Linked DNA regions of Oreochromis niloticus. The protein of the gene in region 1 interacts with the protein of each later gene in a pairwise test. Links are inferred from orthologs where the notes say so. Each region holds a gene or a part of one and is shown in the gene's direction. Other genes may lie near its edges. The genes, in order: fhl1a, akap12b and mybpc1.

Region 1 (10,109 bases):
AGCAGCACCTTTTCAGCATTTAATCATCACTTTGTAATTGTGCTGGAAGAACTTTGGGGCTTAAGCTTGCAAGCTGCAAGTATTTACTTTGAGTTTTAGAATGAGTCATCTTGATGTTATTCGTCTATTCATTACCAAAGAAGGAGGCAAGTGAGGCCAGCACAGAAGTGGGACAAAAGTGTGTGAAGTTAACAAGTCAGACTATTTTTTTCATTTTTTTTTATTTATTTATTTATTTTTTGTAGAATCAAAACTGAAAAAACAAAAAAATGCTGCAAGCGTTAATAATTTCATACCACAGGTTTCCTGTAGCGCAGACCTGCCGTGACACCCGCTAATGAATGTCAAAGTGTCAGTGCTCGCTGATGCAGATAAATGATAAACGATTCCTTTGTCTTGACTGTAGGACCGATGAGAACTTCGCTAAGAGGGCTTGTAAATTCCTGGCTGAGGTCATTGTTTATGAGCGCTTACAGAGGTTTGGCTGATGTCCTCAAGCTTCTTTTTTTTTCCTTTGCTCCCCCTGTCTTTAAAGCCTCGTCGCCTCAGCAGATTTCACCTCTCGGCCAAACCCACTGGACGCACTGCTGGCGTAGAGTGAAAGGCGCTCATCTTTACGCGTTGCAAAGGTGAGTCCAAACCGCAGCGCATTATTAGGCAGCTGCTAAAGTTCGCTTTAGTTTATGTGAAACAAGGAGCGGTTTATCACAAGGATGTTTGTGCCAAAAACTTACACTTAAAATGCGTAATTGTTACTTTTCTTCCTTATCGGACGGACATTTCAGACATTTAAGTTAATTACGCAAAGTGTCCGTGTGGAAATATGTAACATGCTTGAATTACTCTGAAATCAGCTGCCTATTTCATGCACTATGGCACGCAACAGGTGATGCGCTTTGTTTAGGGCGTCAGCCCGCATATATTTAAATGAAGAAGAAAATGTTCTTTTATGTATTCCGTATGTTTATAGATATATGCTTATGCTTACTTTTATTAGCAAATTAACTAATTCTAAGGTAATCTGTGAGGAACTCTTATATACTATATAATATCTGGATATAACTCATTTACACTCATAAGAATAGTTGCAAGAATATTGCTTTGGATTGGAAATCTAGTAACGGTTTGTACTGACATATATGTGCTACAGATACATTTTTGTTTGTATAATGAAGAGCAAAACCCAAAGGTATGATGTGTGGCCATAAACTGTGACAGCATAAACCAGCTTACCATCTCCTCCCTTCCCGTTTGGGCAGCTGCCAAACCAAATGCATGATGTCATTAAAGAGACCTGGAGATTACCGCTTTTTCTTTGGAACACTGGACCTTTTTGTGTTTCCAGTATGACTTCACCATCCTTCAAAATCCATAAAAACTTTGTACTTAAATGGGACATAAATTAACCCAGTTTCAAACTAAAAAGACTGTTCCTCCTGTCTAAGTCTTTTTTCTTTTTTTAACTTTTAGTAAAATCAGTATAAAAGCAGTGTACACATCCAAGCAGGGAGTGACAGATTATTCATTTATAAAGCCTGTTATGTGATATATAGTTGATATACATTTAAAGTGCTATGTGTCAGTGCCTGTGAGGGTACCTTACATCAACATCTGCCACACTTAGGCAACTGGGGGGGGTGTTTAAGCCAGCAGTTTATCCTGACAGAGACATACTTTAGTTAAGAGGGAAGTTCCATCATTTCTTTCATATGTGTAAACAGAGTGAAGAGAGAGACAAACAAAGAGGTTCTGCCTGAGTGCTGATGACTGAGTTGATGAAACGCATGAAACAGCGCTCTCACCAGCCCAGAACCTAAATAGGCAATGCTGCTTGTTTATCTGTGTGGGCCGACCCCGCTGAGAGGAAGTAATATCCTCTCTGTGCTCTGTGTAGATGTACTAGTCCTCCTTTATTTTCCCTCTTTAGCCACACAAAAAACAAACAAACAGAACATCGCTGAGAAAAATGTGATTGGGATTCTTTATCCTTTTGAAAGGACGGATCATGTTGTTATACGGTCTTTTATATACAAGTTCAATGTCAACACAAAAAGAGCAAATTTACACTGCTGAATATTAAAGTTATACGTAATTAAGTGCACAAGTGTGCAAAATGTGCCCATTTACAGTCATTACACAAAAATTAATTAGCATGTCACTGTAGCTGTTTGATGTGGGACTGAGTTCAACAGATTTAAATAGCTATATTTCTGTTCTGTATATGCTTTTATACAACTGCTATAGCCGTCAGTTAAATGCAACTGAGTGAAAGGTCATGCAATTTGGAAAGTATGACTTTATTTCATGTTAATTCCAACCTAAGTCAGTCTTAGAGTAACAAATGATTATGATGACATAGATCATGGTGTGATTTGGCCTGGAGAAGTAGGATAATGACTATGAAATTTAAAAAAAAAAAGGTACCCTTTTGCTGTTTAACATTATTTTATACGTACAAGTATAACATTGTATTACTCTGACAACCAGAACGCTGACGTGTGTTAGCAACACTCACATCTAAGATATATTAGTTCAACAAGAGTGTTACTGTGTTGATCGACCGTCCCTTGTGGCCTTTTCATTGGAATATATTTGACCTCGGCGTGTTTGGGTCTTGCAGTCTCATCCTGACCTTATGTCCATCTTGTAACACAGCTCCGCACATGAACAAATGGTTGGTGCGCTATGTCGCTGTGTGTGTGTTTCTGTGTGTGTTTGGTGAGTCACTGTTCCCCTGACAGAGATAGTGCGGCTCAGGCTGTCTGCCCACTAACCAGATTTGGAGGGTGACTGAGACACTGAGATGTCCAGGACACGAGGTCATGTTGAGAAATGAGCTCTCAGACAAATAGACAAGGGTTTTGTTGCTGTTGGTAACAATGAGAATGAGGGTGGCTGCCTATGTCAGTCACCCCGAATGACTTGTTATTATTCAGGAAGTACAGGCCAGATTTCCTGTCTCTCGGCGCTGCCAGCTTAGAGAGGTGTTAGATAAAGAGCCTGGAACCTCTACCTAAAAATTCATCAAATTCATTGCGTCTCACAACAGGAGCAGTTTCAAAAGTACACACACTGTGTGAGAGGGCATATAACTGCCTGTATTACTGTCTGTTTCCATCAGCAGTGTGGATGACTTTACAGCCTTTGTCCTCCTTTTTTCTCTAAATGTAAAAATGGCAAATTTATTACATCACCAACCTGGATTTTCTTATTTGGAACATATTTTAGTGAGTCAGCTGACCAGGGGTTATTTGGGTTTCCCAAAAAAGGATAAGTAGCAGCCAGGTACTTTTAATCAAATGCACTTGAATCACTGATCATCAGTAAATGTGAGCACATCTATAACAGCAGAGATTTTGGCAGTTTGCTGTTCTGGAGCGTTCAGTTGTGTCTTTAAGGGATGCCTAGAGGGAAAGACATCAGCAATGATCTCAAAGAAGCAATTGTTACTGCCCGTCAGTCAGGGAAGGGTTATGAGGTCATTTCCATACTGTCAGGCTTTGCAATGCTCAGAGAAACTGCAAAAAAACACCAAAAACCAAAGTGCTACATCTCAGACTTTGATAGCATGTTACTTCTGAAAAGCTGTATCTGAACAGGCTACAATGCCCTTTGGACAGGCGCTACTAAATTGGAGATGTGTGGCCATAATGCAGAACACCATGTTTGGAGAAAACCAAAAAGCATGTCAGCATAAATACCTCATACCAACTGTCGAGCAAGGTGGCAGAGGGTGACGTTTGAATTCGGTTGTCAGCCATCTGTCTGACAGCTGAATTTTGACCTAAATTGGGGCAGGCAGCAGGCCAACGATCCCAAGCAGAGGAACAAATATACAGCAGAATGACTGAAAAACAAAAGAATCACGGTGTTGCAAAAGCCTAGTCAGAGTCCAGACCTCAACCAGACTGAAATGCTGCGGTGAGACCTTAAAAAAACCTGTGAATGAACTGAAGCGACGTTGTACAGAAAAGTGGGACAAAATTCCTCCACAATGTTGTGAGAGACTGATAAGTACATGCAGAAAACAATTACTTTAAATTATTGCAGGCAGTTCTGCAAGTTAATGAAACGTGGATGTACACTATGTCATGTGTTGTTCTTCATTTGAGGTTTTACTTATATAAGGAAATTTAAATTTTAATATCTGGTAATATCTGGATGATCTATTATGTCCTGATGTGTAAAACCTTCTAAATGACAGAGTGTGTACCTTAATATTAAAAAATAAAAAGAAAGAAAAAAAATCCACCGTTTACCACCATCATCATAATTATCCCATTATCAGTTATTCAGTTTGTCAAACTGTTAGACTGTGACCTTTCCAATTTTCCATGGAGTATTTTGCCCCACCCCTTATCTTAAAAATTCACATGAAGTCAATGCAACAATGAGAGGAATGCATCGCAGTGCAGATAAGGAGATAAAGACTAAGACAGATGACCCAAACAAACTAAGGGAGAAAAAGGATGTGGGGCAAAATTATCTGGTTACAGACATAATAATCTGAAACAAGACTTAAATTTAAGTATGCAAATAAACTGAGAAGTAACAGATTTCCTGAGCAGACCATCTACTGGAGATTTTTATAGGCTTGGGAGTCATGGCGCCTCTCGACATATTGATTAGTCTTTGTGGGTTTGCAGTAATTGCGTGACAGATTATAAAAGAGAACAAATGTAATATTGTGTTCTATGGTAATGGACCAAATCGAATCTGTAATTACAACCAGATGCCCTTTAAACAGTGTGGCAGAAGCACACAGACACACACTCACTAGTTTGTGTGTATATTTAGATGTGTTTTGTGAGCAACATAGGACATTTTCTTTTCTATACACTGGTTAGGGAATAAATAGAGAGTTTTATGGTTCCCAACTCATTAGACTTTACTTTCTGTTAGTCTGTGGGCTTTCACTTTCCTTTAATTTTCGTCGTGGTCTTATATTTCTGGCTTTAAACTTGTCTGACTCTAAAAGCTTGAATGAATCAGAAGAAAGTGCTTTCTGTAGTTCTGCATTTGAGCTGACAAGATGATGAGAAAACAAGATGATGGTGACCATAATGTTTCTGGTATTAGTAGAAACAGTGGAAGTTAACTGAATGTAAGGAAGAACATAACATTAGGTCAAACGCTAGAACACAACTTTACTGTTTTAATTTACTCTTTATGCTTTTATATCTTTGTTTTAGGAAACAGCAGGTAGTTTCTTTAAAATTGTTATAAAAATATGTTGTAGACGACCTGCAAAACAACTGGCTAACATAGTGGAACATTTTGATACAAGTATTTACCTTAAGGAGTTTTCATAGACCATATCACAGCTAAAGAAATGTGAACATATTAGTTATATCTGATATACTGATTGATCCGGTGGTCAAATAGATAGCTCCAAATAATGATAATGTTGTTCCATATGTGCTGTTTGCTAACCAGAAGGGTTTTTTTTCTACTCATGACTTGGGAACCTGTCTTTTGTTTCTGTAAAATAATATCTAATCATTTTGGCCTCATGTTTCGTTAATAATAACAAATGTTTCTGTTTCAGCTGTTGGTCTGGGTTAAGTATTGTAATTGGATGAGGAGAATTGGTTTTGGCGAGAGTATTAGTGAGGAATTTGTGGGTGTTTCCTCTGGATTTAAATACAATATTCTTTCCTGAAATCTGAATCAACAAGATAACAGAGAAAGAATTCAGCACTCTTGGCTTCATTTTTTTCTATTCTTCAAACCCCACTAGTTTTCTCCATAGTATCCACTCATGAATATATAAGAGGAGATCCTTATATAACTCTCCACCAAACAGCTTCCCTCCTCAGCTCAATCAATATCAACTTGTTCCTCTTGTGAGTCATCCCTTTAAATTATCCCACATTTCAGCTGTACATCTTCTGAAGAGCCTAACAAAACATTTAAAGTCAGGGCAGTGGGAGTATCTGTTATCCCTCGCGGTCATCATTCAAACCCCCCAGACTGTGTTTTCCTCTTTTTTTTCCACCTGCTGATGTTACAGCAGAGGAATCCAATCTGCATCACCTAATCTCTGCATCATACTCTCTCTCTCATCAATCTATTCTCTAATGCATTCCCTAAAAAGGACAGGAGGGTTGAAGGTTGGATTTGGATGTGGGGTCGGGTCACAGAGGGGTATATACAGCCCCCCATTTCTTAACAAGATGTGTGGTCTCCAGGTTTGACCCTCTGTGGATGCTACTGACCCTGTGTTATCTTTCTTTTCTTCTTTTCGGCCTTTCTGGAAGGCAAACATGACATACAGACACTCAGGTAAAAACTTTTTGCCTGTTTTTTTTTTTCTAATCTGGTGCAAAATGTTTTTGTAACAGGTAAGAAGAACAGGTCTGTTTTCAGATAATGAAGTCAATGTGTTGTTTCTGATTGTTTTCAGAGAAACGGAGCAGGTCCGCTGAGATTTTCTTGATGTGTGAAACAACCTCACCTGTAATATGAATACGGGCTATTTTTAAATGATCAGTTTTAACATCTTCAGGTGGTAGTTTAAATTTTAATCAAAAACCTCACTAAAGTTCTGATACAGATATAACATTTCCCTTTGGATCAAAACAAATCTACAGAATAGTATGTATTAAAAAAACAAAACTTGAATTCAAGGACCTTTTTTTCACTTCAGAAGGTGGATGAGTAAATTAACACCACAATTAAAGCTCAAATATTCCCTGTACTTTATTTACTTTTCATGAAATGTAAAAAAAACATCCAGAGAAAAAGCATTTAATAAATTTTAGTCAATTATACTATGTGATAAGATAAGTATGCCAGTTTATTTTGTTCACCTAGCTGAAGCTGATGTAGCTGCATTGAATTTTACCTTCTGCGTGAATGTAATATTGAGTATTTATTGAAACGGTGTTTAAAAGGCTGATTGAACTCACAACTCTCATTTTAGAGGACGGGTTTGTGATTGTTAAATAGCATACATAACTACATATATAGTTACATCTACTTACACTATGGAGAATTTTGTATTTTTCTGCAGTAAAATAACTTAGTGGACCCAATAACTCCTCAATATATTGTATCATCATGAAAAGGCCATGTTGTACTATGGATTTGTGGTTTAATATTACAATGTGTGGATGTTCAATTATGTAGTGATTGTTTAAATGTGTTCAGGGGCCTATTTTGAAATTTTGGAAATTGTTCTTGCCATGCACCTTTACCTCTATAACACTTTCACATGAAGATGGGAACTTTTTCAGTAGGCCTTCTTTAAGGAATGTTAGAATCAGAGGCAAAGAACAGAACACGTCAACAGATATTATTTCGGCTGATATTCAGTCTGTCCAGTGTTTGACTCACTTCTTGAAGTGGTCTCACTGTGACCTTTCCCACTAAAGAGGACTCCTCCCCGAAGGGAGCACAGTGGTATACACCTCTCCCACCACAGCTGAGCATCATTGTACATCACGGCTGTTTGACAGGGGGCAGCTGTCACGCTGTTTGCAACAGCAGATTAAAGTCCTGGAAATGTGTCAGCTGGAGCCACAATAGCTGCATAGTCCCAGCAGTCATCAGTCTGCATCCATCTACATTTGTCCACTTTGGAAGGTCAATGGACTTTAAATAGAGTGTCCAAGTCTAAAATAGATCTCCGGGCTTGCTGGGCTTAGTAATGTGTACTGTGTGTGATTTGACAAGGTTGACTGTGTTGGACTGAAGGGGGTTTTGCCATGAAATGCTACAAGGGGGTGAGTTTAGATGGAGTAGGGCGTGTCACTGCTCAGGCCCCAGTCCAGTCTTTATCCCTCGAGCACAGCTGCAGAACAGGGCACACCACATAGCTCGCATCTCTTTCACGTGGCTTTTTTACCACATCTTACTTAAATAGCTCCCTGCATAAATGTTTTCTTTGCTCCTATGGTTACTGGGACAATTGTCATACCCTGCGTTGTTTCCTCTGTAGCTGTTGTTGCATCGCATTAAAATGATATCTGTGTATCCAAATAAATCAATTTTTCTAAAGTTCACAGACTGTTCAGCTACCCGTTCTGGCTTCCAGATAAGCTTTTAAAATGATCTAGATAGTGCTTATTTGTCCACCCTATGAATAACTATTTATACCAGAAAATGACTCCCACTGGATGTCAACTGTGATAGGAATGCAGGAATGTTGACCGATAAAGTAGCAAAGCCAGTCTGACATAAAGTTTACAATATCATCTAATAAAGTGACCTGGCCAAAACGCAAGACAAAAGATCGAATGTGGGCCGGGGCTCTGGGGAGACAGCTTTGAGGTGGAGGGGGTGAAGGGAATGAGTCAAATGGTCTAAAAATAAGCTTTCCAGGGAGAGCTTGATAAAAAAGTCTACAGGCCAGGAAACATGCAATCAACAAGTAGACATCTGTGGGCTGCTTTTTTACCTCACTCACACTTCTCTCATCACTTTGGTATGCTGCTGTTAGAGCCACATGTCATAGTGTCTCAATGGGAAAACAGAAAAAACATATACATCTTTCCACTGAAGACTAAATCTAAATTCAGCATCTATTTTTTTAGGTTAAGAGGTCAGATGTATATATTCATATATGTGGGTGGAATGTATTGTTGCTTATATTCAACCTGTCAATATAAGCAACTTCAAACTTACTCATTTGTTTGCTCTTAAACGCTCATTCTGAGCTGCCACTATAAGGGGTTCAAAATGCTTTATATGGCGATTCCATGGCTGTAGAAAAAGCAACAGTGCCCCCTGCTGGTGCTACAAGGAAACATCCTGTCATGTAGGCAGACCTAAACGTGGAGAGCAGATTCGCTGCACACATTCAGTGACACTCTCCTCCTCTCGTCTCCTCACAGGTCCCAGGAGTTATCTAACCTCCACCATGACTGATCGCTTTGACTGCTACTACTGCCGTGACAATCTGCATGGCAAGAAGTATGTGAAGAAGGATGACAAGCACGTGTGCACCAAGTGCTTCGATAAGCTCTGCGCCAATACGTGCGCAGAGTGCAGACGCCCCATTGGTGCTGACTCCAAGGTGAAAATAGTGTGGATGGAAAAGAATGATTTTTTTTTCTTGTTTAAACTTTGAGTGTAATATAAAGATTTCTTTTGTAATTGAAAAGAAAATACACACATGAATATATCCTAAACACTATTATACTTAATAGTTGTTCTTTTATTTGGTTCAATGCAAAGATCCTTAAATGGGTTAGGGTTTCTGAAGTCTTCTAGATATTCCTCGCAGATTCCAAAGACAAAATAAAAACATTTTAAAAATCATTTTGCAGAGAAGGAGACTTCAGATCTGCTTATAGCCCATTTTCACATCAGCCATGCTGAGTAGACCCAGGGTGCCAGCTATCTGAATTTAAAAATGCCTTTTGTAGATGTAAATCGTCACTAATGCAGACTGTCAGCTTTAATTCAAGGCCTTTAACTAAATTATAAACAGTTTAGGTGTAACAGCCAGTTTTATTCACAGGGCCTTAAAGTAACTGGACAAACTAAAATAACCTGACATAAGGGATTGTTCCTAATAATTTCCTCAAAATCCTTTGAAGGCAGTATTTGCTTGACCTTGCTGCTTGTCCAAATAATTGTGGACCTAACTGTATGTACTATAGGTTCAGAGTGCTTTCTGGCTTTAACTTGAGGTCTGGCTATTATAAAGCACCGACTTCTGCCTTGAAAATGCTCTCAGTACTCGGTCACAGGCAGTTAACTGTGTGAAAAGATGTGTCATTCCTAATAATGGAGCTTATGTACTTCATTGCGCATTTCCCCCATCTCAGTCCTCTAACTCCTTCATGGCTCACCACACCCTACTTCACTTCATTACCACTTTTATGCTGGTCACATAGGTTTGTTCTCTATTCGGCCCCTGAGCCTCAGTCCACATGATGAGTAAACAAACTCCATTTTAATGAGGGCTGCATGAGGACTTAGTGAGGGCACCTCTGCTCACCTCCCCACCCCTGCTTTTTCCCCTCAGGAGCTGCACCACAAGAACCGCTACTGGCATGAGGACTGTTTCCGCTGTGCCAAGTGCTACAAGTCACTGGCCAGTGAGCCATTCAGCGCTCGGGATGATGGGAAGATAATGTGTGGCAAGTGCAGCTCCCGAG
Region 2 (10,603 bases), on another chromosome or scaffold:
CAAAGCTGCCATTTTCTGCGGGCGTATTCATCACCGCCAACCTTGAGTTAAATTAAGTCTAGATTACAGTTATTGAGCTTGTGTGGAATGACCCTATTCTGTCTAATTTACACAAGTTGTGATGCTAAATGTTGGCAGATGGTGTTTTGGTGTAGAGCAGCTGTGTTGTGGTGACGGCCTTAATGTGAGGTCATTATATAGATTGTAATTTTACCTTCTTATCTGATTTTTGTGGCCACTGACAGTTTCATGAGAAGATCTGTACCAGCTGCGTGTGCTTCCTCGGATATGTCCACTCATTAAAAGCTTTCTTGAAATTCAACTAGATTAGGATAATGGTAGACGACAGACATATTCTTTTTTCTTTCCAAATTCTATTGCTTGTTGATGAGTTTAATGTCATCTGAGCATCTTTTTCATTTCTAGGCAACGTGGATTGTCACATAAAAAGGTTTTTAGTGCGTCCATTAATTCAGTAGCTTATAAATCAACCTCTAGCATTTGATTAGCAGTGGCTGCTAGTTATTCTCTTAATTCTGTGGTCTGATATCTCCATATATGCATTTTTGGTGACTTCTCATCAAACTCTTTGTTGGGTACATGATGACAGTAAATGATTGACATAATTAAAATTAAATAGATCAAAATTAGATTTATAAGAGTTCAAATATGGGTTAAAGTTCTTCTCTGATGTGTTTTCCCTCAGATGAGCACAATGCCTGGCCTGCCCACACGACCCTGTTTCTACGACATTGACCTTGACCCGGTCACGGAGGAGATCACTGGGCTCTTCTGAGCATGCTCCTCAACGTTATTCTCGTGGGTATCATCTCATCTGTATCATATAAATTATTCTGAAGAAGCTGCCATTGTTTCGCTTTACATATTTCACAAGCAGCTATTGACAGTACGGTTCGTTACATCGACTGGCTGCCGGGATTTTGCTGCGTCTCCAGGCTCAGAGGCCCTGCAAACATCTTTGTTTTTGTTTTTTGGTTCCCAGGCTCCCTGCTCTGTTTTCAGGATCATGGGCTCCATGCATTCACCATAAGGCTCATCTAACCCCAGCGCCACTGGCAGGAAACAATTTCTTTCTCTTCCCAGCTGATCCGCATCAAAGCAACATGGAAGAAGAGGGAGGATTAGCGGACCATTAGATTAGCATTATGCTGCATTTGCACGTGTGTCATATGCCAAAGACCGTGCCCTACAACCATATATATGTATATCATACATCCTCTACTTGTGTCAACTTTTTTCTGGGTATAGAAGAGTCTGTTTACTTGGATTTTATTTTGTTGTTTCCTTGGATGTCTAACTTCTGTTTATTTTTCTGGAAAGAAAATCAAATGTCTTAATACAGTGTTGTTGTTTTTTACCTAAATGCAGTGAGTAGGCAAAATTGTGAATTAAGATGCTGGTGTACGCACAAAGAGCCCTGATAGTATTCATGTGACTTTGAGTGTCCTAATCTGTTAAGTGGTGCTGAATGTTAAAGATGCTTTACATACACTGGGAAACACTACAAATGTCAATTATGTTCATAATTTCTAAGCAGTTTTTTCTTAGTATTAGTAAATTATTTTGTTTTGTGGTTTGACAAGAATACATTGTGCTTCTGTCATGTTATATATGTTGTTTGGAGGTATTTCAGACAATACCGACCAACTAGATTCCGGAGCTTCTTTAAGTATTACCTTCAGAAAAGATTAAGTCAGCTATTCCCTGAATTTTCACTTTTATTCCATAGAGTGTAAAACAAACAGAGGTACTATATGAAAACATCTGGTGCAATCCTGAAAGCTGCTGTATGTCAAACATTTCATTTGTCAAAGATCAAAAGTGCCTTACAGCAGTAATAATAAACCTTTTCTTCACTCCAAAACTGTGTATTTCTGTTTTTACGTCAAGCATCTGACATGAGCTGTTTTCTTGCTATCGTCTCGCGATTCTTTTTGAGATGCTGCGATACAATCGTGCCTCCTTTCACGGATGAAACCTTTAAGATTGTCTGTGCTTTTCTCATTTCTTCCCATGTGTTTTGGAACGGTGTCTGAAAACAGATGATCCCCACCCCCACCCCCCAGCAGCACCCCAGGGTGCAACATCTGTCATTATGAGGTGTTTGGGTTTTCAGCATGAAGCCAAGTGTGCATGTGTGCACATGTGTCATAGCTGGCATTCCACACTTTCAAAGTCTCCGTGTTATTCTGCGTGTTCACCTGGCAGTGGGAATCTTATACAGTAGCACCCCAACAGCAGATTTAGTGTGTGTGTGTGTGTGTGTGTGTGTGTGTGTGTGTGTGTGTGTGAGAGAGCGAGAGAGACTGAACCCTCTTGTTTTGATCTGATGACAGATTTAAAGATGTGTTGATAAGCTGTACACTTTGGCATTGCACTGTAATGCGCTGACAGATCCTTGTTTTGTTCGGTTAGAGTTGTTTACAATGAGTTTTTGACTCCATCTGAGAAATTGTTTAGGCTCTCATCTTTTAGCACTTCTGGACAGATTTAATAGATTTTCCAATTTCAGTACCAAGGACAGTGTCCTGTTGAATATTTCATGTGAGAGGAATTCCAAGAGTTTCTGGAAAATTGGTCCAAATAGTTGAAGCTGAATGATCCTGGTCCCCAAACATCCAATTCACTCTCAGTTGTTTCAATACCTTTATACTAAAAAAGTGCTACATTAACTGGGTCCTCTATTGAAAGTTATTCAATTAGTTTAGATTCTAGCTGCTCAGCAGTCCTGGGTCTATATGCTATGCTTCTCAAATAAACAAACTGGTTCATATTCTAGAGCCATCCAGTCTGCAGAAAACTATAAAGTGGCGAGTATCTGCTTGTGAATATTGCTGAACACTCCCTCCTCTAAATGTGCCTTTAACGTACCCTTACGCTACTATTTCATAGAGCTCTGAGCATGACATATCTAGTAATGCTTTCAGTGTAATGAGAACATCCTTCCTTTTTCCTCTTCCATGTGACACCGGCACTACAATACTGCTCATTTATAGTGTGGACATACCCTCTGTCTTGCTGTCTCAGTTGGTGTTCATGAGTTTGTTCGAGATTTTACAAGATTGTCAGCTCTGCTTGACATCTGAGTGTTATTGTAATACTGTGTTCAGTTACTCTTCTTGAAATCTCCACATTCCTCTTTTCACTGTGGCCCAATAGCTCTATCTTTTCTCCCCAAAACTTTTCTTTGGCTTGTCTATGCGGACAGTAAATGGCAATGTAGACTGGCTTCACTGTGGACAGAGTTCTAGCACTTTCCATTTCATTGCAAGCTTGAGCCTTAGTGGTTCCATGATTGTTTCTGATCATCCTAACCAGTTTCCCATTAATCTTCCCAAAGTCCCGACCTAAACCCTACTGAAAACTTGTTGGCTATGATTTCCTGGCGTGGTCCCAGCTTCTAAGTAATCAAATCAATGAACTATACCAATTATCCCAAGAATAGTGGGCAAATATCCAAGCAGAATTATGCCAGAAGCTTGATGATGGCTACCAAAACTGGACTGATCGAGGTGCACCTTGCTAAGGGACATTAAACATCACTTTGGCTGCATCAGAACAATGATGTTACCATTGTTTATTAGATTCAGACATTTTGCCTTATCTTCTAGACATACTTACATTTAAATCAAATCTTTCTGGAAGTCTCAAATAAATCCCAGTCAAAGCCAGTTTACAAAGTCAAAAGGGTTTTAAAAATTCAAAGATGGAAGTCTCCATGACACAAAGCTATTTTTACTGGAGAAAAAATAAAAGATGTATAAAGCAGCAGTGAGTGGTCATAACAATCAGTGTATGTTGCTTTAAATGAGTCCACCTTATATTACCAGTAAGTAGCAGATGATCTCCAGTCCCTTTCAGCTCATGTTGCTGTTATTGTTTCATAGTTGTATAATGTGTCCTGTGTGTTTTACTGTTTGACAGGTTATATCCTGTTATTTCTGAGTGTTTCTCTGTGTAAAGCCTTCATTTGTGTTGTTGCACTACGTGCTTGGGTTTGTGTTTTGGTTTAGCTGTCGGGACCTTAAGTTTAGGCGTGTGTGAACTTGGCTTAAAATTTTGGACTATAATTTTTGTGTTCAAAAATTCCAAACAAAATGACACATTGACTCAACCTACAATTACAATTACCTACAAACCAGTTCTGTAAACCAGAGTAACTGTACACACACTTCATCAGAACAATGAATCACAGCAAAATGTAAACAAGATTAAAAATCAGGATCTAAAGAGATGTCAGAGAGATTACGTCATGGAGCGAATTCAGCTGGAATAACAGAGACACTGTTTGTTGTGTTGCAAGTGTTATGAAGGTTGTGTTAGTGTTTTCACATGAAGCACAAGAAAGATTGTTTTCTCTGCAATACAAAATGAGGTGGATGTCAAAGTAAAGCCAGGAGAACCTTTTTAAACAGGAGGAGAAGTCTTACCCTACCCCTAGCATCCTCTTCTCTAACTTTGTCTCCAAACTGATCAACCTGAGCTGTCTCTCTCATGGATATGTAATTCTGTCTATCCTGCATCTTCAGCTCTGCCCAGCATGTCTAAATACCATTTTGCTGCCGTCATTCTGTCACAATTCACCCTGCCACTCGTCGTCACTTGTTTGCGGGTCCTTCTGCATTCAGTTTTGTATTAAATATCTGAAAAGCATACTCTGTTTGGGTTAAGATCAAGTAACTGATGTGGCCATTTCTCATTTCTTTGTGAGACAGTCTCAGGTTGCTTTTGCAGTAAGCTTTGGATCATTATCCATTTGGACTGTAAAATGCTGTATGATTAATTTTGTAGCATTTGTCTGAATCTGAGCAGAGAGTGTAGCTCTGTACACTTCACAGTTCATCCTGCTATTTCTGTCATCAAAAAACACCAGTGAGCCAGTTCCTCTGCAGCCATACATTTACCTTCCTCCACTATGTTTGACCGATCACAAGCTGTTCTCTTTCCTTCTCTCCATATTTTTCTCTTCCTATCATTCTGGTGCAAGAATTACAACATTTATATATCTATATCTATATTTGGCAAAGTCAAATCTTGTTCTTGAGTGTAACCAGTGGTTTGCACCTCTTGACCACCTTTTGTTATCTTCTTTTCTCGTGTTAGATATTCCAGTGAAAGCTACTAAATGCAAGTTCAATATTCTGAATGAACTAGATCTTTGATTAAATTTGTCATGACAACAAGGGAAGAGGTCTTAGCTGCTTATCAGTCAGCTGACCAATTCAATCTGCGCCTCTGAAAATCGGGCTCTATGCATAAAAATGTCTTTAATTCCTAAAAAAAAAATTTAAAAAATGCATTTTTGTTGTTAAACCACTTGAATTACAAGTCTGCACTTTTCTCACACTTTGACTTATTTAAAACTCATTGAATGTGGAAAAAATGTGTCATTTTCCAGCAACTCATGGACCAAACTGTAAAAGTGCACAGGTAAATTTTGTCCTTATATATGCTTCCTGTCACCAAAATCAAGAAATAATGTGCACCATGGTTTGATTTTATTTCACTGTTTTTTATGCCCAATGACTCTTCTTAATTTCTCTTTTTACCAGTGGCATCAGTGGTGATGTTTACAACTTCTGCTCAAACTTGTCGGATTTCTACCCTCGTGTCATTGCTGTGTTTTTAAAATTGCTCAAATTTAATTTACCAGAACAGAACAAAACTAACGGATTAATGCGGCGTGTGAAGAAAAGGCCCTTTATCCTTTTAATTACTTGACCTCCTCTTCCCTCGTTTGTTTATCCTCCATCCAACTCTGCTCCTGCAAGGCGTGCCGCTGCACACCGGAGCCCCCCATGTGATACTGACGGGAGATGCAAGAGGTGGGGGCGTCCTGAAAGAGTTTGCCAGTGCCGACGCTTCATCACTCCAGATCCAGGCCACCCCGGGGCGGAGCTGCATCGTACATCGGACGCTTTGGATATTCGCTCCCTAAACACAGTCGTTCTGCTCTGGCTCCGTTTATTGCGGAGGCTTATTTAGACCGAAAGTAGCCAAAGACGAAAAGAGTTGGCCATGGGAGCACAGAACTCAGCGCAGCAGGACGGGAAGAGCCAGGAGGATGCCTCAGCCTCAGCTTCAGCCTCCGCCGGGGATCTCAGCGCAGAAGTGAAGGCGCACCAGGAGGGAGACAGCGTCCTGGACAGCAAGGTACAGCCGACACTTGCGCCTTTTTAGCTCTGTCACAGTAAACAAGACCCCCCCACCCCTGCACGGTGAGCAGAGAGACAGACCCGGGGGCGGGGGGCTGTATCTGCGTATGCTTCCAGCTGTAAAAGCTGTCGTTTTGTGCATTTATTGTGAGTTCACCTACATGTTTGCAAACATACCTGTCGCCCCCCATCCCGCCCCCCAGCCTCAAATCATGTGCTTCGCTGTGTGCATGAGTAATGTGCTGCAGCGCACCAGCTCCATGTGCGCCTGACGCTGTTTTTGCTGAGTAATGGGTCGAGTCTGCAGTCCCGCAGTAATAAAACGCCAGCAGCAGCTCAGCCTGGTCCAGGTTTACAGCCACACAGGGCACCGTTTAGTCCCGGATAACGAGCATATTTTTCTTTATAGAGTAGGAACTGATTGATTTGACCGCTTTCGGCCTGCTTTGACCGGGAGAAATGACGGATGTGATTCTCACAGGGACCGATGATTGCATAATTAATGTTCCTTAACAGCAAAAATTGACAAAAGTTATTTTTATACTTCATCATAAACTATTAATCCCAATGTTCTTTGTAATTCCCACATCTTTTTAAAGATGGCACAAAAAGGTAAAAAACAAAGAAACCCCCAAACAATTAAAACTAAGAAAATAAAATGTGTTAATAAACAGAAATCTGATAGATACTCAGATTTTCATTACATAATTTTAAAACTACATGCATTACAGTTCAAGAGGTGGTGTTGTTAGTCCAATGTCAATGTTGATGTTAGAGCACTGAAGAAACACCTGTTTTTATTTTATCTCTGCAAGACAGGAAATAGTTAAAATGCCTGTTATGATGTCTCAAAGCCCAAGATGCCACCACTTTAACAGTCTTAGACACAAAGATGAAAACATTCAGTTTTTATCTAGCGCCAAATTCTTTTGGAGGAGAAGGTTTGGCATTTGTGCTTGAGAAATGACTGATGGGGAAAAAATAAACAGGCCCACTGATCAGCTAATTATTTAAACCTTTCCCTTCAAATGAAATCCAATCAAATCAAGCACTTTGATCTCGTGACTCAGCTGTTAGGAGTAAACAGCATTAAAATGCTTTACATTTCCCATAAGCTGGGCAGTTTTCCAACTCTAGTGTCACATTTAAGTCAGATGACACTTCCCGAGTCCCTCTGAAAGTGCAGGAAAGTGCAGAATTTAAAGATAATGAATGTATTTTTATTTCTCATTAACTTTTGTTCTGTTTTTTTCCACATTTGAAATTAAAAGTATATAAAATATTCCTATTCCAAAAAGCTAATATGCTGTTTTCACTGCTTTAGCCCTGCACCATGCTGGGGTCCAGCTGCCACCACCTGAGGTATCCTGCAAACACTGCACTCTTACCAATGTGTCAGTTGCTCAGTATTGTGTGAATGCATATTTGGAAAGTGCCTACTAAGAACTATTTATGTCTTCACCTTCTGCTCTGTTCACGCCTCACATAACCCATTGGATTTATTGAGTGTTTTATAGATTAGAGGGCAACAGGTTACATTTTGTGGCCCATCTCAGTCTCTTTAAGGTCAGCAGAGAGGTCACATGATACCTTGGGTGGGGTAAGGGGGGGGGGGGTACATTAAGAATCTAATCCAGATTTGAATCACGGTCGTTGCTTCTTGTTTATTTCCAAAGAACGTCTGTGTGGCGGTTGGACGTTTTAGCCTCAAGCCTCGAGCTCTTATCTCAGGTGTCATCATGGATTGCAGTGTTTTCACTTGTATTTCCAACTAACTGTGGGGACTTTGTGATATGCAATATTTCAAACCTCCGGGGTGTTTTAGATACATCTGTTATTCTCTGTGATTTCAACCGTGACAGGTTGGAACAGTTTGTGATTCCCAGTCTACGTCTCTGTCACTGACAGTAAATTTCCAGTCATGCTGTTTTGCTTTTTCCACATCAGTTATTACCAGCTAGTATCAAATATTACTTAATTTGTGGAAAAAAATGAGAATTTGTAGGACAGATCTTTATTTCTAATTGGAGCAGAGTCATGGATCTTTAAGGAGACCTTTTACGCCCTCCAAAAAAAAGTGAAATTTACTAACTTTTCCTCTCAGTTGGAGCGAGCTCACTTTGCACGCTGTTGCAAGCATGAGCCTCTAGTCATGGGTAAATGGATGTTTTCTTCTCTAGTGGTTTGTTTAGTATGTGTGGTTCAGTAAAAGGAAAATACTACCCGCATGGAAACAACACTGAAAACAAGGTTTGTGTGTTCTTGAGTAAGAGTCACCACTCGCAGAGATGATGTTGCTGCTGAATCTTTTGTCACTTCCACTGAAAAGAAAACACATCACATGTCTAAAATGAGAAAAGGAAACATTTTGAGAAAAGTATCAGTTCATTTAATTTCTTCATTCGTTCTTTTGCCAAGAGTTTGTTGGGGAGACCTGGATGGGAGCATATGTTGCTTTAAATCCTTTGTATGCCTTTCAGCACTGATGGTGCCTTTCCAGATGTGCAAGCTGCCCATTCTATAGGCACTACCACACTCCCATATCATCAGAGATTTAAGCGTTTGAGTGCTGATGACACGCTCTTTAATGTGTAGAAGAAGTTGCTGTGTCCACGTTTTCCTAAAAGAATTTCACATTTCGATTTGTCTGACCACAGAACAGCCTAAATGAGCTTCGGCCCACTGAAGGCATTTTTGGATCACAGACAGCGATCATGGAAGTGTTCCTGAGGCCACGCGGTGATTTCTTTGTCAGAATCACGCTTGTTTTTAATGCTCTGCCGTCTGAGGGCCTGACGAACACGGGCAGCCAGCATTGTTTTTAAGCCTCGTTCCTTGCGCACAGAGATTTCTCCAGAATTTTTCTGCGATATTATACACCATAGATGATGAGATGATCAGAATCTTCACAATTGTTGAACCTCTGTCAATCTTCAACTCTGAGAAGCTCAGCCTCTATAAGATGCTCTTTTTTATGTCCATTCATTTTGCTCACCTGTTGCCAAATTAACTCGGTTTTTCCTCAAAATAGTTCATTTTCTCAGTTTAAATATTTGACATGTTTTCTGGTTTCTATTGTTTTCTTCATTCTCTGAACTGTTACTTTTTAAATAATGTCTTTAAAAAACTCCTCAAACTAAAACCTTCCTAGAGTTTTTTTTTTTTAATGAATCGCTTGTTTGTCCAGCAAATAAAAATCTCAACAACAGCCACACATAATCTAATTAAAAAAGCCGGAAGCTGGAGCTTCGGCTGTGTTTTGTATGAAAATGAGATTTTAAAGACTAAACAAATATTTCCACGTCAGTTAAACTGACAGGTATTTGACCTCTAGTCAAGACTTCAGACGTTTTCTTGCTGTTTTCCTTTTAAACCTTGTACGTGTGTCGTCCAGCACAGAGGAGAACCATGACCTTGTCTGTGGCTCCCAAGTATTTTATACTTGAACCATCCCACCAAAAGAAAGGAGTCGCTGGAAAACTGCTGTTTTCTCTGTAAGTGATACACGTCTATCTAAGATGAAAACAGATATTTTAAATCCATTTATTCAGAACAAACATCAGAGTTAGACAAAGCATGTAATCTTTAAGGGTCTATTTTCACGTACATTTGTATAATATGTTGTATTTTGGGGCGAGAGCGGGAAGCGTGTGTGTGCTTTGTTGGTTGTAGCGGTTGGAGCCTTCATGCTTGATACACAGTCGATAAATATCCTCCTCACTCCACAGAGGAATGTTAGAAATGTCTCCCTCTCCACCAGCGCCACGGCCCGCCTTGCTCATACCACTGCGTCTCCTCGACCTCACGAGTGTTATCAAAACGATCACATTACGCTTGTAATTTAAGTAGGTGTTTCCGAGACATTTTGCTTTTAGCGCAAAAATGTTTTTCTTGAACCCACCTCTGCTGGCTTTGCTGCTGTTTACATGACATATTCTGTGAACTTAGAGGCTCAAAATAAGAAGTAAACATTCATTTGTGCTGGACAAAATAAAAGTTTGTCCAGCACAAATGAAAAAAATAGTTAAAATGAAGAATCAAAGAATTTAGATCACACAGTACTACAACTCCTTCTTTCTGTTTGTCTCTCTATACTGCTTTTATACATAATATATCTAGAATGTAGTCTCATAAATTTCTCCTCAATAGCTTATATAGAATCTGCTGCACTGGATTCTGTTCAGAGCACAACGTGTAAGCTCGTCTTTTGAAAACCCCTAATATATTAAGCCTGAATTTTTAGGAATAAAGATGTAAAATCTTGCAAAATTTGGGAATATTTGCTACCTGATGGCAAGTGCATACATTTATGATTAATACACAGAAGCAGATTGTTTAAAGCAAAGGTCTTCTTAGCTCTCTGATTATTTAATATTGATTAGAGTGATTCTGCAATGCCTGGAAAAGTTTCCAGGGATCATCACCTG
Region 3 (10,504 bases), on another chromosome or scaffold:
AAATTCTAATGATCATTTTTACATGACATGTAAATATTAAGTGGAAAATATTTTACATGGTTGCACTACTCTTTATCCATAAATACTAAGATATAATAATTTAATTGGTAAGGATTAAATAATTTTCTCAGTATTGTTCAGTTTTGCTGAGTTGAAAATATCATTGTCTTTCAATGATTCAACATCTGTCCAAAAAAATAAAAAAAATAAAAATAAAGCTACACGCTGCTATTATCATGCAAAAATATATTTTAAAAAAACATGTTGAAAGATTTGGCACCGTCTGCAATGCAGTGAAATATTACAACAGGCACACAAAATATGAAATTAAGACACATCCTGTGAGGAAAAATGTGTCAGCAAGTGTGTGTTTTCCTGAATCGAGAGCATTGTGTAGAAGCTGCCTCCAGGCCAGGTCTTATCTGGTTCAGCGGGGAGGATGTGGTCAGTGCTGGGAGGCTTTGTTGATGGGTTGACTGGTGCTTGTGTCGGGGGCTTTGTGGGATGGTGGTCATTGTTCCTGCGAGCCCAGGGTAGAAAACGTTTGGTTTTATGTATGCAGAAAGCCCGCTCCCGTGGGGGGTATAATAAGAGTCCCCGAACTTGAGTGTCTCAGTGTCAGTTGTGTGTAATTCTCCCATTCTGCAAGGACTGTACTGCATTCGAATCAACCTTATCAGTGATGGTAAAGAGAAGTCTTCAGAATTTCTTGCAACATCTTTTCAATTCTGACATATTCAAGGCTGGTTTTATATTATTTACATCTATCAGAATTTTTTCCAGGAGACTCAGTCTGATTTGGAGGTTATATTAGAGTTCCTCGAGGAGTATCACAGACAAAACAATGCAGAAAATGGTAAGCAGAAAATGGAAATCTACTAATTATTCTCTGATTTTATTTGACTACAGCTTCTAAGTAATTTTCTGCTTTTTCTGACAGACAAGGTGCGTTGGACGGCTATGGAGGAAAGAAATGTACCTGCAGACGAAACATGCAAGCAACTCTGGGCATACTATGAGCCACCTGTATGCATCAATACTTTGTATTTTAGCACTTGTTTTCTCTCACTTATTTAAAGGCTGGTAAGCACTCTGCAATTGGAAATTCTGTTTCTCTTCTTTTCTTTTCTTCATCTTTTTTCCCTAATTGAAGAACATCAAACCTGCACTCCAGCCCTTTCTTGCACAAGATGCTCCAGCAGGACTCGGCCAAAACACAACAGCAACACTGTCTGAGCGTGGGTCAGTGCCAAGCTTCGCGACAACAAGAAAATCAACCAAACACCCAGCCGCAGTAGGGAGGAGTGGTGAGTTCTGCTTTTTTTGGTCACTGGATACTGTTATTGTCTCTGTTGCTATCAGCATGAGGGAAATAATACCAAGAGAGCAAATAAGAGACCTTCCCTTTACCGTAAAAAACAATGGAGCCGTGCATCGCTTACCACAATAGCTGTTTTTACATATCTATCAGATAATCACACTGTTTACAGCTTTAGCCTCTCCACTAAATGGCATCCCATCACTGAAGAGATTTTCTGGGAATATGCGACAATTGAGGAAACGATTAACTGTAATCTGTAGTAACTGTTTTGGCACAGCTGCCATGATTTTCGTTAAGTCTTTCTTTAAATCCACCTTCATCATACAGGCCACTTACTGTTTGCATAATGGCTGCAGGTAAAAGGGTGCGACTCTTTCACTTCCTTTTTGAGATGCTGGAGAATCCAAACATGGCCCACTGTTTGTCCTGGGTGCCAGCTGCCGCCGGTGTTTTCCGCTTTTCCTCCAGGAATAAGGACCAGGTGGCTGCACTGTGGGGACAGAGAAAAGGCAACAAGAGACCCATGACCTACCAGAAGATGTCCAGGGCGCTTAGAAACTACGCCCGGTCTGGAGAGATCTTCAAGGTGAAGAAGAAGCTCACCTATCAGTTTAGCCGAGACACCCTGATGTTGCTGCAGAAATGTCATCGAGATTTGTAATGCAGGCTCAATTTTCTGTAGCTCATATCATGTGAAGTGAACTGTGCTCTTTTTTTCCTGTTTATAAAGTCTGTTAATCTCAACTTTCATTTCCTACATTTTTCCATTATTACTTAGATATTGTACTATTGATGGCTTGTGGTGTAAATATCAAAAGAATAAAGAAATATTTTACTGTTACTGTTTCTATCTTTATGGAGTTTGACTTTTAAACTTTTTTATTAGTAAATGTCCCAATCGAACTGCTGTGGAGCTTTTTTTTTTTGCATCTGTGAGGTAGAATATAATTGATGGACAGTCAGAGGCTTCAATGCAGAAATGAATTTATTCAAAATCTGGTTATTCTGGTTTATGGAGGCAAGAACGGTGCAAGTGTAAAACAAAGATGTGCTTATTAATGTTTTTTAATGCAAATTTCCAGAGACTTTATCAGGGCTGAGATAAAATGCATACATACAAATAATGTTTTGGCTTTTGACTTTCTGCCGGACTACCTCCATTTAAAAAAATATTTTTTGGAAAACTTTTACATAAACATCGAAGTTTTCCAATCCGTGTGCCACAAACAGCTGAAATCACTCACCGTACACCTAATTACACATTTGAAGCTCATTTGAAGATTTTATAAAGAACAGGTCCACATAATATTTGCATGTTTCTGATGCGGCTTCAGGAAGTATTGAATGAATCAGCTGAAAGACTAGATATATCTCTCAGGTCCTGTGTCAGGGTATTTCTGGATTTTTTCCTATTTCTTAAGGAAATAACTTTGAGATAATTTTCACCTGTTGTTTTTTTTAAGGCCTGCCATTTCTTCTTTTTTGCAGTCCACTTATCCAGTTTCCTCAGTTTTTTAAGAACATGCTACATAGCATGCTGAGACATGCCAAGTTTTTGGCTGAAAGCTATCTGGGAATCACCTTTTATGCCTGTCAAACCTTTAGCACTTTTACCTTCACTGTTACCTTTAGCACTTTTTGTAGGTTGAACTAAAGAAATTATGTGTTTTTGCAATGCACATGCAACTGCGAGTCACAAAGTTCATAAAGACAGAACTTAAAATTGACCCATTGTTAATTTTCTGTTATGTGTAGACCCAATACTGGTTCATCCCTTGAGTTAGGTGTTAGGTTTAAGGCCTTTTTTAGTAGTCTTAAGTAGCTTAACAAACAAAAATGTTATTCTGAAAGTGGTCAGGTACGAGGACTGGACTAAAAATGAGTGAAAAACTTTCAGAAAGCCTGGAGAAATGATACTTAAGACCACTTAAAAAACACAAGAAAGTCTGGCTGCATGGAAGCAAAATACAAAGAAAGGAGGGGTGTCTTGAAACTTTTGCACAGTATGGTATTTAATAAAAATGCGATAAAAACCTTTTATAAGTTTTCACACTTGAGATTTTAAACTATGTGATGTGGAAAAAAAGCCACACAGAGGTGGGCTATTTGATGTTTATTTTTTTATGTTATTTATTCAGCGTGTAAATGCCCCACTTTGCAAGACAGCTATATATTTCATAACTGGACATTATACTTGATGCCCAGCTACAGCATTGATTTAGCATGGAAAACGCACTGTTATCCTAACTGTCTGTAATCTAACAATGTAATTGAGTATCACAGTTTCAAGCCCGGAGCATATGCACACAGGTGCAGTTAATTAACTCTGCTCAGGTTTCAGGTGAATCCCCACTCCTCAATATCTGTATACGATCTAGAATACAAAATAACCAACAGAGGGAGAGAAATGTGAATTAAGTCCCGTTCGTTGACCACTGAAGTCCTGAAATTTCAAATCCATGTGTGGGTAAGGTCTTTACATAAGCAGATAGTTTGTAATTATTCCTTACTAAATATAATTTCTTCTGCAAGCATGTCTCCATATGTCCTAAAAAATACATCTATCCAAAATACACTTTTGGTTGTGAGTATTTTACAGGAAAAACTGTAGTTTTTAGTCACACGTTCTCCTGGAAACAAAGTTGCCTTTGTCTTTCTCAATCTACAGAAATGTGCATTTGCACTTGTGTTTTTCCTCATGTGATGGATTTGATGGCTGCTAGAAGCCAGAGGGTGTCAGTGTAGTCCTTTTCAACGCCTCCAGCTTCCATTAAACTTCATTTGTGTGATGTGACCTCACGGCTTAGCCTCCTCTGTGATGAGAAGTCTCGTCCCTCACAGGCAACTCCAAATGGTTTTGTTCTCTTTGTAGCCCACATGATACTTCCCTAAGCCTAGTATTTACTGCTGGAGCCCACTTGCAGTTATAAATGGGCTAACTGAGCTATGGTTGTCTGTTACCAAGAAAGGCCACAAAGTGAACTATGAAAATAGGCATTTAAGGCAGGAGTGTATGATAAATTGAATGCTTCCTAATCACAGGATGATAATTTGCTTTGGTTTGCAGTATGGGTCTAATTTTGTTGCTGCTCATTTAAAAAGAGCTTTGCTATAAGCTGTGACTGTCTGGGCAGTGATGCCACATTTTCTTCATAATGCTTTAAGCTGCATTCCTGCTCCACAGCCCCAAAATAGAGCTCAGCCTTGCCTTGACTGTGCAGTTGGGCCATCCATTTCCATACGAGAGAGATCCCCAACATGCTCGTGATATTTGTTAGTAGCAGGAGAGTGACACTGTACATGTGAGGATGCTTCAGTGTGTTGGCGCTCGTAAATCCATCAGCTTTCAACCTTGTTATTTAGTCTTCAAGACCTTATTAAAGACTACGTTTGATTTATCACTTGAGTTTGACGTGCTAAAAAGATTAATTAGGACCAAAGCAACCCTTTCAGTTACATAAATCTCAATGAAACCCTCTTTTCATGTCAGATACACATGTCAAATGTCAAGGTTTATGACAGCTTTCTAAGTATAGGCCGTATAACCAGTGCCCAGGCATCTCCCCACTATTTATTTGCCAGGTCGGAAAGCCTGCTGTTCTTGGACAGCATTCCCATTGGATTAAGCTGATATCTGGCACCTGGCATTGAGCCCCTGCTTGTCAACTCTAAGTTTTTTCTTTTTTTTGAATAACGAATCCATACATTCTCTGAATATGTCGTATATCATGTGAGCATAACCCAGGATTGTCGGAGAGTATTACATCAGCCTCGGGCCTGTTAACAATGACGACACCTTTTCCTTTTATATCCCACCTCCTGTTTTGCCAGTGATCTACCGCGGAAGCAATCTTAGTAGTAATGATATTGCAAAGTAAGATAAATAATAAAGGCTACAGTAAATAATTTCAAGACTAATTAGTCAATCTAATGTTGATATTTTGGAAAAATCCAAAATCTGGAATTTCCATAATTCCACATGTAGCTGAATGTACTGTACAGCACCACAGCGACATATTTATTTGATCACAATGTATGTGTGCGGTCTATTTTTAGGTCGATCCCACATATATCACGCTGCAGCTTTAAATACGAGCTAGTAAACAATATCTGCTACTGAAAATACTCTCCACTAAATACAAAGTTTAAGCCTTTGTAAGCACAGCTTACTACAAAAACAAACAAATCTTAAACAATCCATCTGTGTGTTTAAATGCTCAAACAATGATTTTTTATAATGTTACTACTCTAAAACACCACCCAAAATATGCTGTAAACACTGATGCAAACTTTGAAAATCAGTCAAGTTAAAAGTGTTGTGAATTTAACATCCTGATGCACTTGTAATTCATGGCATCGCATGGGGATAGGGGACAATAATGTTACAGTAGGTATAGGATGGAGCTGCATTGTCAACTACAGAGAGGAGGAGCATGCCACATCTCTATATAAGGCCTAAAAGCCTGTCCCTCCTTGATCTGTTATCGGTCCCCCTCTTCTCCCCACTGACTTTTCCAAACCGTATCCCTGTGCCCTCTTTATCTCCCATCACTCTGCTGCAAGGGGTCTCTGAGGGTTTTTATTCACTATTGTCCTGCTCACCATCAGCACCTATCTGTCCCTCCTGGACTGAGGAGGCTCCCACGCCTCACACAAGAATCCTACCTGCATCTTTTGACTCCTTGGTAGCTTCTTTGGGACGCAGCTCAAGATGCCAGAGCCAACAAAGAAAGGTAGGAGTTTTAACAGTATGTTGCCAGCATGCAGCTGGGGTCCAACCACCAGTTGCAGTTTATGTTTTAATTGTTTTAAAAAGTACAAATGCTGAGAATTTGCAACAGTTAAAGGTTTACAATGTGGTTCTGCTTTTTTTATTTGTTTGATTGAGGGCAGCACAGTTTGTTGTTACTGGCTGTGAGGAGCTCCATCACTCTGGCTTGCCTGCCAGCTTGTTCATAGGAATCCTCAAAGTGACTTTGAAAGTGGTATTGTATTACTGATGCGTGCGTGTTTCTACCATCCTTGGTACAAGAGAAGATTTGAGGCGTACAAACAGATAGTATTATTGCAAAGCTTGGCATACTGGATCGGTTTAGATTGATTTGACTGGGGAAAGACACGATGGTGAAGCACAGGAGAGGAAAGGAATGATGAGTGCTAAGGCACAGGAAAAAACTACCCCTGAGGGATGATGCAAGCTGGATAAAAAGTGCGAGGGTTGAACCGTGTAAGGATAAATAACATCTTGATTGTAGATATCTTCCAATTGAGTTTTTGTTCAACTGCAGCTTCACCATCCCCTGTCGCGCCCTCATGTTGGATCTTTCTTTCGCACTTGATTGTCATTCATCTGTACCATCATGTCCATCAACATTCCCTTTTAATCCACTTGTGTCTGTCATTACCTTATGGAATTACTCCCACTCTACCCATTAGCTCAGCTCTCTGGGTAGCATCTGTTGTTGACCCAGACATGCCCATGTAGAGGAAATCAAATGTTTTGTTCAGCTTTTGGATGGCTTCCAAATTACAGATAATCAAACTTTCAAAATCTGTGATTCTCTAGAAGAGGATTGATGTGACCATACCAGCTCTTGGACTGCTGTGCATTGTTTGCACATCTCTTTGTAAACAAATACATCTCTGTATTTGATTTACCTTCCATTAAAATTTGTTGTAGGTGTTTGAAAGGACTGAGGGTTGTCGTACATCAAGCAAGCTTTGCCTTTTAGATCGTAAAGCATTATAAATACTGGATTAAAGGATTAACTTGACAATCTGAAAGCTACAAAACCCTAACAGTACCTTACAGTACAAATTTAGCTCCCTTTCTATTTGCGTCGTTTGCGGTTAAGAGAGTGTGATGTGCGAAGTGATGTGACAATCAATACCTGTCCTTACAGAGTTCATCTGGTGCCATGACCATCCATGATCCCTCGGGAATCAAGGCTGTGGTGAATTAAAGGCAGCAGATTCCTGTCTGCTACAAACACTACCCATAAATAGCTGCACAGCCCCAAGCAGCAGATAAATAAGGGCGGAAAAGTATTGTTCTTTAAATGAGTCTGAACAGCTGAAGAGGAGGAGGGTAGGGGCTGTTGTTTTAGACACCCGGCTCTCAAGCCTTTAAAAAGTCCCAACCAGAGATGACGGAGTGGTTGAGTTGTCCCTGGATCTCTAGGGAGCAGGATTCTTGTCCCTGGAATAGTTCAGAATGAGCACACTTTTAATCCCCATCCCTTGTTCACTGCCATCTCCTTTCACTGCCCCTCCTCCACGCCAAAACAGACACCTCCCTGCCACCCTGTGCTCAGGATGGATCACTCAGAGGTCAGGCAGCTCCCTATTAAATCTCCAAATCTGTGCCCAGCGATCCTCATGAACTGTGACAAAATTTCAGAGGTAGTAAAGGCCACGTTTTTACCTCGTGATATTTATTGTCACTAAGGTCCAACACTCCCCTGGGCTTTATCCTCAAATACTTGTGTTACTGAATACCACCTAGCAAATCAAGCCCATGATGAAATACACAGGGGAAACCTGTCAGCAACTAACTGCCACTCAAGTGCTGATTCCTAAAGGGTCCTTCAGTGTAGTTGTTATCAAAGCAAACTAGAAACAAGTCAAAGTAAATGGAGAAACTAAAGCACCAGAAAGGGTCTGGTTATATTAGCTTTAGCTTTAGTGTCTTATCAGAGCAATCGGGGTCTATATTAGGAAAAATGAAGCCTCTGGCCGTTTAGCTTCCATACACATATGAGCCCTTCTGTCTGCACGCCAGCAGCAGCGACAGCTGAAAATACCTGCAGCTCCGTCAGCTGCACTGAGAGTCCTCAGAGGTAAAACAAAACCTTTCTCCACTCTCATTATCTCTACGGTGATGAGACAGAGAGCAAGGCTCGCTCTTGGGTACATGATGTGACCCTGCAGGATTCTGGCACACGGGCCAGCAACACATTGTTTTGGAGTGAGACAGGACTGTGGCTAATTTTGACAAGGAATGCTAAGAGGGAATCATTACAAATGGAGGGATATCAGAAGCTAAGTGGCAACGCAAGAAAATGTATATATGTCAGTAGACATGCTGCACAAGGAATTAGGGTTACAGTTTTCACTGATGGGCTTCAAACAGGTGGCAGTGACAAGATGGGACAATACACGGAGGAAGGAAAGTTTTCTTACAGGGATACAGACATTTCAACAATATTCCACCCTTGGGATTCCCATATGTTCACCCACTGACATTTAATGTCATGAATATGAAGTACTAAGTTCACTTTTTTAAATATACATTTTTATGGCTGTAATAACAGGTTTAAACAATCTCCACATCTCACATTTTTCTTGAATCCAAGGTGTTTTAGTACCAAAAAACCCTCTAATAAACTTATATATATATATATATATATATGTATATATATATATATATATATATATATATATATATATATATATATATATATATATATATATATATATATAGCGTATATATATATAGCGTATATATATATATATATATATATATATATATATACGCTATCCAGCAGCTGGATAGCGTAGTGGTTAAACTACACGCCTTTGGAGCAGAAGATCGCAAGTTCGATTCCTGCCTGGGGCGTCTGTATCCAGTAAGGGTCCTAAGGCTAGACCCCCTATGCTAAAGTGAGCCTACCGCAGACATGAGCGAGACAGATAAATATGAAGGCATGCCGGCTCGGACGTCGCCCGGATCAACAAGGTCCGCGTCAGGTGTTGAGGAACCGGGGCACCCTGACGACAAGTGGGCTACTGGAACAAGAAGGCATCGGTGGGCAAGAGACGAAAACAGGGCGTTGTTGGAATGCTACTACGCAAGTAACCCTGGCGGAAGGGGTTACATGAATAGGATGAGGGACCTATGGATTCTTCGATACCCAACATCCACAATGACGGCGAAACAACTGGTAGCTCAGTGTTCCAACATTCGAAAGAAGGGACTGCTCTCACAGCTAGAGATTGACGAGGTACAACATAAATGCTACGGCAAGGAGGAGTCAGGACGCCAGGTCAGGGGGGAGATATCATCACCCCCACCCGAGATTGGGTACATAGCCCCAAGTGCGATAGGAGAAGGATCGTTGAGTGCGAGAGGAACTGACCTGAAAGATAGGATCATGGCCAAGCTTGAAACCTGGACCCCCCCTAGCCGGTTACCAAGATTACGTGAAGTACCCTCAGAAGGTCTGCTAGATGATGTTAATGCAGCACTACGGATGATACCTACAACCACGATTACCGACACTAACAAGCTGATCTACACTACGGCAGCAGTGATCAGTGAGATGCTTGGCTACAAGTTGAACAGCCACAAGGGGCAGTACCCTCCATGGAGAAGGAGGCTAGAGGGCAAGATCAAAGTAGCACGAAGGGAGGTTAGCCAACTAACGGAGTTGCAGAAAGGCGCGACAAAGAAGGTGCATAAGAAATACAGCAAGCTGTCCATACCTGAGGCCTTGGAAACTGCCAAGCAAAGACTCACAGCCTTGGCCAGCCGCTTGAGGAGGTACACCAGAGAGATAGAAGGCAGGAGAATAAACCAGCTGTTCTCCGCAGAACCAGCAAAGGTGTACTCTCAGTGGCAAGGGAACAATAACAGAACAGCACCACCAAGGCTGGAGACGGAGCAGTACTGGAAGAGCATATGGGAGAAGGACGCAACCCATAACGGCAATGCTCAGTGGCTAGTGGATCTGAGGGCAGACCATAGCGACCTCCCTGAACAGGGTCCAGTAACCATCACAGTGGCAGACATCCAAGAAAGGGTCTCCAGTATGAAGAGTTGGACAGCACCAGGGCCCGACATGGTTCACGCCTACTGGCTGAAGAAGCTGACTGCACTCCACGAGCGTCTGGCAGCACAAATGAACCAGCTGCTAGTTAACGAGAGACACCCGGAATGGCTAACCGAAGGTCGGACGGTCCTGATCCCCAAGGACCCCAAGAAGGGACCGGTCCCATCCAACTACCGACCAATAACCTGCCTCAGTACTACATGGAAGCTCCTGTCAGGCATCATATCGGCTAAGATGAACAGGCACATGGGTCAATACATGAGCGGGGCACAGAAAGGGATTGGCAAGAATACCAGAGGCGCAAAACACCAGCTACTGGTAGACAGAACAGTCAGCCGAGACTGCAAGACCA

The links.
Region 2: the proteins of fhl1a (region 1) and akap12b interact in binary tests that used the Homo sapiens proteins (3 or more experiments, as listed by UniProt). The link is inferred for Oreochromis niloticus from reciprocal best matches to the Homo sapiens genes FHL1 and AKAP12.
Region 3: the proteins of fhl1a (region 1) and mybpc1 interact in a two-hybrid assay, tested with the Homo sapiens proteins (2 studies listed by BioGRID and IntAct). The link is inferred for Oreochromis niloticus from reciprocal best matches to the Homo sapiens genes FHL1 and MYBPC1.

The regions. Positions count from the first base shown.
Region 1 is NC_031966.2:19,264,113-19,274,221, forward strand, and holds the start of fhl1a (four and a half LIM domains protein 1a), read left to right. Parts: upstream 1-6,165; 5' UTR 6,166-6,266; coding exon 6,267-6,285; intron 6,286-8,837; coding exon 8,838-9,019; intron 9,020-9,976; coding exon 9,977-10,109.
Region 2 is NC_031980.2:11,537,707-11,548,309, forward strand, and holds the start of akap12b (A-kinase anchor protein 12b), read left to right. Parts: upstream 1-5,845; 5' UTR 5,846-6,039; coding exon 6,040-6,174; intron 6,175-7,505; exon of another isoform or gene 7,506-7,538; intron 7,539-10,603. Other genes in the region: mthfd1l (monofunctional C1-tetrahydrofolate synthase, mitochondrial), read left to right, coding at 707-796. UniProt on the Homo sapiens protein: Anchoring protein that mediates the subcellular compartmentation of protein kinase A (PKA) and protein kinase C (PKC).
Region 3 is NC_031981.2:14,132,408-14,142,911, reverse strand, and holds the start of mybpc1 (myosin-binding protein C, slow-type), read left to right. Parts: upstream 1-5,812; 5' UTR 5,813-6,032; coding exon 6,033-6,054; intron 6,055-10,504. Other genes in the region: spi2 (GA-binding protein alpha chain), read left to right, coding at 683-685, 772-856, 941-1,026, 1,154-1,307, 1,678-1,982. UniProt on the Homo sapiens protein: Thick filament-associated protein located in the crossbridge region of vertebrate striated muscle a bands. Slow skeletal protein that binds to both myosin and actin.